Coturnix japonica: one gene and its partner. The protein of the gene in region 2 purifies or fractionates together with the protein of the main gene of each other region. This does not show direct contact. Links are inferred from orthologs where the notes say so. Each region holds a gene or a part of one and is shown on either strand. Other genes may lie near its edges. The genes, in order: ENAH and ZYX.

Region 1 (4,302 bases), on a different chromosome or scaffold from region 2:
GATTTCTGACTAGGCCAGCACGCAGCATGACTTCGCACTCGGTGACACGGGTGATGCCGGCACACAGAATGTTTCTTCTGGCATTTTTACAAGTTCTGTTGTACTACACTGCATGTCTTGAGAAATCAAGCTATGACCAATATCTGATTTGGCTAAGAACACCAAGCATGATAACACAAATAACGCTAATAGGTTTTTGTTAGGTTTTTCTTTTACTTTTATTCAGTGTGTAACAGCTTCTGTCTCTCTTTTCATCCCCTCTCAGGCAGACTTGTTGCTGAGGCACTTTCAGTGCTTTTTATACACCTGTCACAGCCAAAGTTCCTTTAGATGTGACTAATGTGACCAAACAGTCACATCAGAACAGCTGCATTACCATCCTGATATTTTCTAGTGTAGAGCAATTGGGATCTCTGAAAAGACTCCTTTTTGTCCCAACATCTCTGCCATTGTTTCTACCGATGTATCTCCTACTACAGCCAGCTGGATATAGATCTGGCATATATCTATATGGATGCTTAGATATATCAGTTAGATATAGATCTTCACGTTTATATTTGGCTGCTTCAAGTTATCTTTCACCGTCAGAATGGCTTACTTCTGAAACCTTTTATTTGGAGGACATTCTGGTGATACAGTAACCACAGACCTTAGAAAACTCCTGACTCGTCAAGATTCTTATGATCCACAGTCAGTCCCCAGCGTCCCGAGTGCTGAATGGAAACAATGAAGAGAAACGCATTTAGCAGGATTCATTTGAGTCCCCTATTTCAGACTGTGCACACATTGTTGTCAGAAGTACCCACTCAATTTTTAAGTGTATGATGCCGCTTTTCTTCTGATTACTCATCTGCCTTTTGTGATTCACCTCTACAGATACATTTTCATTGACATCATCCCTATGCCAGTAAAAACATGTTCATTTCCTTCACAAAATCGGTATCCATCAGTTTGAATTTCAGAGCCTGTCCTTTTTTCTCAAGTAGTATTTCTAACTACCGACTTTCTTTCTCATATCCTATATGTTTTTAATAACTCAATCCTAGAAAACAATGGCAGTTGTGAAGGAAAGATCAAATCAGTGATGCAAAAGCATCGCTGCTGCACAGGGCGGCACACGGGCGGCCTCAGAACAACGACACCCACCCATCACACCTGGACGCACCCCCGGCGATAGGCGGCGCAGCGCCCCGGGAGCCGTAGCCCCTCACGGGGTGGGCGTGCCCGCCCTCGCCCCGCCCTCCCGCGGCCCCGCCGGTGTCTCCGGCCTCCCCCGCGCTGCCGCCCTCCTCCCCTCGTCCCCCCGCCCTTCCCGCTCGTTGGTTCGCTCCTCTCCGCCCCTTTCCCCCACCTCTCCGTCCCCTCCCACCCCCGGCGCCCCGCGGTGGTCTGGCCCGGCCCGGCGGCGGAGGGAGCGGCGGAGACGGGCGGGTGGGAGGCGCCGGCTGCCGGAGCTCTCGCTGTCCGTTGAGGCGCCGGCCCCCGCGGAGCGGCGGCGAGAGGAGCCGAGAGAGACAGAGCGCGGCGGGGCGGGGGACAGCGCGGAGCTGAGCGAGGCGGCGGGAGCGGCACCATGAGGTGAGGGGCCGGGGCCGGGGCCGGGGCCGGGCGGAGGGCGGCGGGGCCCCCTCCCTATAGCGGCCGGCGCGGTGCCGGGGCTGGGGGCTGAGGAGGGGGGGATGGCGGCGGGCCGAGGGGAGCCCCGCGGGGGAGGGGCCCATTGTTAGCGGCGGCCGCGGCGGCGGCGGGGGGAGGGGCGGCCCCGGCCCCCGCGGCGGCGAAGTTGAGGGGCCTGGGGGGGGCGGCGGGGCCGGGCCGGGGCGGGGAGCGGCCGGGGAGCCCCGACCCTTGGCGGAGCTGTGCCCGCAGTGCCCTGGCGGGGCGGCCCAGCCCGGCGCCTTTCTTTCTCCGTGCCTTTCTGTCGTTCTCTTTTTTTTTTTTTCCTCCCCCCCTCCTTCTCTGCCCCTTCCCGGCGCGTGTTGCATTGCAGCAGCTGGGCTGCACCCTGCGAGATCGATACGGAGCGGGCGGCGGGGAGGGGGAATCCCCCCTCGGGGGATCCGCGATGTAAACAGCGCCGGGCGGGGGCCGCCCGCTCCCACTCGGGACCCGGCTCCGTGCGCCCCATTCATTTGTCCCCGCGGCGCTCCCGCCCCGTTCCTCCTCCCGTTTCCGTCGTCCTCTCGTCGGATCCGGCCCCAGCTGCCCCGCAGCCCCCAGGGGCTTCCAGCCGCTTTGTGTTGCCGAGGCCGGGGGCCCCTCCGAGTGCGGAGAGGTCCGCAGGGTGAGAACGGGTCGATCCCTCTGTTGCGGCGCTGTGTCCGTTCATGCAGAATCCTAATTACGGGTCTGAACTTCAAGGTTTTTGCTTTTGTTTTGTTTTTCCCCTTTTCCCCGTGTGCCTTCTATGCCAACGGTAGCACTGCAGCTGGAAGCGGTGGGACGTGGTTTGTCCCTGCCGTTCTGTTGGAAAATGCTTTCCCGTATTTCCCTCTCACTCTCTTTGTTAGCCGTAAGCATTCGCATGCTCCTTTCGCCCTCGTTTCGCGTTGTGCTGATTTATTTTCACCCATCTGCATCGCTGTAAAAGCGGGGTGCCCCGCAAGTACAAACTTACAACTTGAGCTCCCGGCTCACACCCGGACCCTTCAAACATGGGGTGCCCCTGACTCCCTTGGGCAGTCCTTAGCACGGACTTCCACCATAAACCTTTGGAGAGGGCCATGTATTAATCCAGTTTCTATGCTGGCAAAGTGTGGTCGGCGCGGAGCAAGGGAAGGTGTCCCAGCACCTTGCTGCTGCTGAAGCGTCTGCCTCAGGACCTCTGGCAGCTGAGAGGCAGTGCAAATACTTCCCTTAACCGGCATAACCGGGAAGTGCCTAAGTTGAACCTACCCTTAGGTTGCTTATTTAGATGTTGGAGTAGTTGTCTTCAAGCTTCTAGTTAGTGTACGCTAATGATCCTGTGCCTGAGTGCAGAAGGTGAAGCTGGTGGAAGGGAGACGGTGTTGGGAGTTGAATGGGCGCGCTGAGCTGTCATTGGGTATTTGGGAAAAATCTGACTTTAAAGGCTTGATTGCAGGGCTCCTATTAAAAAAAAGCAAGCTGTACCAATTAAACTGCACAAGTTAAGAAAATGATGTGGTTAAAGCAGCGTTTTCTCTCTATAGAGGCACTATTAAATTGTCTTGGTTTTGTTTAATTGCTCCAACTCCAGTACAATAGCAGGCTTTCACTGCACGCTCTCCCTTTGGACTTGTTTAGACTAGGATTGACGCTGTATTTCTGAGACATGTTCAAACCAATATCTGCACACCCTGCTACGCTTGGGCAATGTGTTTTAATGGGTGTTTGCTGGTCAAGGTAAGTCCTGATGGGGAGGAGCGAGAGAGTGAATAGGGAAAGCAACCGGTGCTTCAGATATAGGTTCTGTTCTTGTAGGTGTTGCTGAGAATAGGTTTTTACATGATGTTGATGGTTTCCTGAAATGCATAAACTGCATTCTGCTATTGCTGTTCTGTAGGTAAGTATGCAGTTGGTGCTCCGGTTATCATATAAATAAATACCAGAAGTAATCCTGTGGTGAGCTGCAGCCCTCCCCCAGCCCATAACTTTTGTTTCTGTTATGTCCTTTGGCCTTTTACATATGTGAGGGCCTAATCTTCAGTCATCTCAAGCCTGAAATAATTATGATGATTTGATGTTCAGATCTCACATTTTGTCTGGGCTGCTTAGGTGATCAGTTACCAAAGAGCAAACTAGTTTTCCTTGTGTTAGATCCAACTAAATATAGTTGTCGAGAGCTTCTTCATAGCATGAAGTAACCAACAATAAGGTAGGACGCAAACATCCATCAGCACATGTTGACCAGAGGAATTCCTGTGGTAGTTTGTTCTCTATCTGAATTAAAATGAAATGCTCTTTGGGCAGTATCTGCTGAGGCTTCTGGTTGCTGACGAACTTTTAATATTAGTATTCCAGTTAAGAGATGAGGAACTTGATATGAAGTTACTTGCTTTGGGACACAACTTGACTAGCAGCTTCCCCCCTAGCTTTGAGTAAACAGTTGATTTTCATTAACACTTGTTCCTCTTATTGTATTGTAGTTAGCTGAGTACTGCCCTGAAGATAGTTTCCTGAGTGCACAGTACAATAGGTGTCCAGGGATAGGTATATTTGGTGGGGTTTCAGCTTTGATCCAGCTGGGTTGTGGTGATGGTGTGGGAAAAAGTAGTTAAAATATAAATAACAGCAGAATTTTGTGCCCCGGTTCTAAGAACAGTATAACTTCCCATCATATTT
Region 2 (3,540 bases):
GTCCTGTCCAGCCTGACCTTGAATGTCTCCAAGGGCAGGGCATCCAACACATCTCTGGACAACCTGTTTCAGTGCTTCACCATCCTTATGGCAAGACTTCTTTCTTACGTTCAATCTAGATCTCTTAGTTTGGAACAATTTCCTCTTGTCCCGTCACAAGAAATCCTGCTAAAGAGTCTGTCCCCTTCCTTCTTATAGACCCCCTTCACAAATTGAAAGGAGTTTCCCCATGCTCAAGCATGTCTATGACTCTCAGAATGGCAGCCTGCCCTTTGGGTGTGTCAACTGCAAAGTTGCTGAGGGTGCACTTGATCTTCCTTTCCCTTCTCCTCTCCAATGAGACACCTAGAGTGTTTTGTCCAACTTTGGTACCAGGACATGGATTTACTGGAGCAATACCAGAGGAAGGCCAGCAAGATTTTGTAGGGATTACACTACCACCATGATGGGGTGGGGAGGTCGCAGGACAGGCCTTGGCCACGTCTAGGTTACAGCATTTAAGATACAGTATGTCTGAGAGGTAAGGCAGCTCTTGCTGTACTGAAATGTGGCATTCTATTGCTTTCAGTGAGGGGAAGCAGGAAACTAAACAGCTTGAAAAGGAAACCAGTATGCGGAGAGAGAAAGGCCATTTTCAGCCTCTGAACATCTCTGGGAGGCTGAGTGGAATAGCAACGATATATTCCCTACAGCCTAAGACATCACTTCTTATGGGCTGTTAAAGAAACACAGGAGAGACGTATTAATGGAAAAAAAAACCTCACCATTTTATTGGATGCAAACAGTGGTCGGACAGCGTAGTTATTCAAAAGGTTTGCTCTGTTTTAAGAGTTTCTAGTCTAAGGAGCGAGGCTCAGTGCAGTAACACAGAGTCAGACAGTACACTGCAGTGACATCGTAGCTCCTACTGACAGCTGTGAAACAACTCTTGCTGGAACACTGAGAGCTCCTCAGTGCGCTGAGATCTCATATCCTCTCACTGAGGCACCTCCTCACGATATGCTTATAACAGCCATTCTTTGGACTGTTTTCTTATTCTTGCCCACCCTGACTGTCCAGAAACCACACCGGGAAACAACTCATTTTAGGAAGAGAAAAAAGTTAAACTGTCCAAACTCAGGAGCTGAGCAGGATTCCAAACACTGCCAGTTTAATCTGGCTAGGGAAGAAGAAAAAAATATTGACAGGGCAGTTAGCCAATAGAATCCATTAGAAGCAGAAAGGCTATAGTAGGGTAGCTCTTCCCAGCAACTAGAACAGAAGCTCCCAGTACATTCTGCTTCCACACTCTTACCCAGAAGTGATGAAGGCGTTGGGGGAAGACATCCTGATAATGAGGTGGCACGGGAAAAACCTATGACAGAAGCAGTGCTGAGATGGAGGCGGCTTCCACCTTATGATGTGAAATCATTTCTTGGCTTCATGGAGCAGAAGAACGCTCAGCCTTTTCCCAGCAGCTGCCACCAGGTCATTCTTGCTCCTTCCACCAGGCGATGGTGGAGATTTGGTCCTTCTTCTTGTCTTGAGATTTTGCACTCACCTCAGTCACAGTCCTCAGCCTGGAATATACAGTACGGCCAGGAAGTGGCAGTGGGAGAAGAGGTCCTTTCTTATTGGGTGCGCATAGTGAAGTCTACAAGTGGTGAATCCTACATGGGTAACCAACTGTGTGTTGGAATCTTCACTGGTAGCAGTCTGCCTCGTCAGGCAGAGGGGTAGGCCAATGGTGGGGAAGGAAAGAGTACTGAGTGCAGGGGGTCTCGAGGGTATGCTGGCTCCAAGCCCCTCAGCACGCTGTTTTAGCACGAACAGTGTGACATTTCATACATAGTACATGCCCATCCAGTGGAAAGCAGCCATTTCCATCAGCTTCAATAGATAAGGGCCTCCCACAGTCCTAAATGGAATAATAAGAAAAGGGATAGCTCAGTGACAGCCAACGGCCAGGATGACACAGACAACAATGTAGGCAATGTCCTACCAGATCAGAACAATGGCTCACAGTCCACTGCTCTTTCTATGACTGTGGTAATTGGGGAAACCATTTTAAGCAGGTGAGCACAGTCCCCTCTGTTATCCCTGCAAGTTCCCCTGGCAGAAACAGCTGCCATACTAGGGCTTTAATAGTGGCTACATGTACGCAAAGTCCTTGCTCATCAACCTGTGATCTGTGAACATCAAACCTTTTTCTTGTTCTTCACAAAGAAGGTGGTCAGGGACTGAAACAGACTCCCCAGGGCAGAGGTCATAGCACCAAGCTGCTGCAATTCAGGAAGCATTTGAACAATACCCTCAGTCATAAGGTTTGAAATTTGGGTGGTCCTGGGTGGAACCAGGAGTTGGGTTTGGCAATCCTTGTGGGTCCCTTCCAACTTGGGATATTCTATGATTCCAAACCTTGCTCAACATGTTTACAAGTCATTGAAAACAACATTAGTGTGTTTGGTCAGCAAAGGAAAGTTCAAAGATGCTTAGTGATGATGTAAATGAGAAGAGCGGGGCCACCAGGGTTACCTCACACTTGTAACATTTCATGTGGAAGTTTTTCTCCAGTGCCACCACACGCACTGTCTCATCTTTCCCAGGCTCTGGCATGATGGGTTCACTACACACTGAGCAACGTGGAGCATACTTCCTGCAACACACAAATACAGCAGAGATCGTGACCGCTGCAGGTTTCTCACCATCATACAGAAGTACGGGAAGCAGAGGCACAAGTCACATAATAGAGGGGAAAAGACCTTCGTTTTAACACAGAGCATTGCTGACTCGTTTTTATACTTTGCTGTGGCAAAGCCATGTCTATTTTGCAGCGAAACTAAACAGATGTGAGGGAATCTGCCTGCTTTAGGATACCACGAGCACATGCTCCCTCCATACCTGTGGTAGTCATCCACACAGTGAGGCTGGTTGGCCTGGTCCACTATGAAAGAGGCCCCCTCCAGAGGAGTATGGCACATCACACAGGTGAAGCACTGAGGATGGTATGAGTTACCGGTGGCCTTCAGCATCCGGTCCGTGATGGTCTGTTTGCAGACACTGCACTTTTCCAGGGTTCCCTAAACACAAAACGAACAGGTAAGACAATATTAATCCAAACCTCCATCCCCAGGAGACTACACTCGATAGGTGAAATGAAAAACAGAGGAGAACAGCCACAGCAAGCTCAGCCCGCTGCAGCTTTTTGTCTCAGTTACTCACGGCATAGCAGTCCTCACAGAAGGGCTTTTCATCCACGTTGTAGAACTGCTGCCCCTGCAGCTGCTTCTCACACTTGAAGCAGGTGAAGCACTCCACATGGAAAAGGCAGTCCAGAGCTCTCACAGCTGGCTGGGTCCGTGACAGGGGCTTCCGACAGAAGCCACAGAGCTCTACCAACAGCAGTAGAAAGGGATTAGGAGGTTTAAAAACCCACCACAGTCTCAGTCCTGCTGCTGTTCACTAAGAGAACATACCAGAAGTAGCAGCTTCTACTGAAGGTGGATGGTCCATATCCTTCATTAGTTTCTGGGTCAACATCTCCAGCTCTTCTACCTCCTT

Evidence for each region.
Region 1: the proteins of ZYX (region 2) and ENAH purify together in Homo sapiens (co-immunoprecipitation; 4 studies listed by BioGRID and IntAct, counting the BioPlex papers as one, with this or other methods). This does not show direct contact. The link is inferred for Coturnix japonica from reciprocal best matches to the Homo sapiens genes ZYX and ENAH.

The regions. Positions count from the first base shown.
Region 1 is NC_029518.1:15,043,026-15,047,327, forward strand, and holds the start of ENAH (protein enabled homolog), read left to right. Parts: upstream 1-1,407; 5' UTR 1,408-1,573; coding exon 1,574-1,578; intron 1,579-1,830; exon of another isoform or gene 1,831-4,302. UniProt on the Homo sapiens protein: Ena/VASP proteins are actin-associated proteins involved in a range of processes dependent on cytoskeleton remodeling and cell polarity such as axon guidance and lamellipodial and filopodial dynamics in migrating cells.
Region 2 is NC_029516.1:69,743,419-69,746,958, forward strand, and holds the end of ZYX (zyxin), read right to left. Parts: coding exon 3,456-3,540; intron 3,372-3,455; coding exon 3,202-3,371; intron 3,060-3,201; coding exon 2,881-3,059; intron 2,636-2,880; coding exon 2,515-2,635; intron 1,898-2,514; coding exon 1,787-1,897; 3' UTR 743-1,786; downstream 1-742. UniProt on the Homo sapiens protein: Adhesion plaque protein. Binds alpha-actinin and the CRP protein. Important for targeting TES and ENA/VASP family members to focal adhesions and for the formation of actin-rich structures.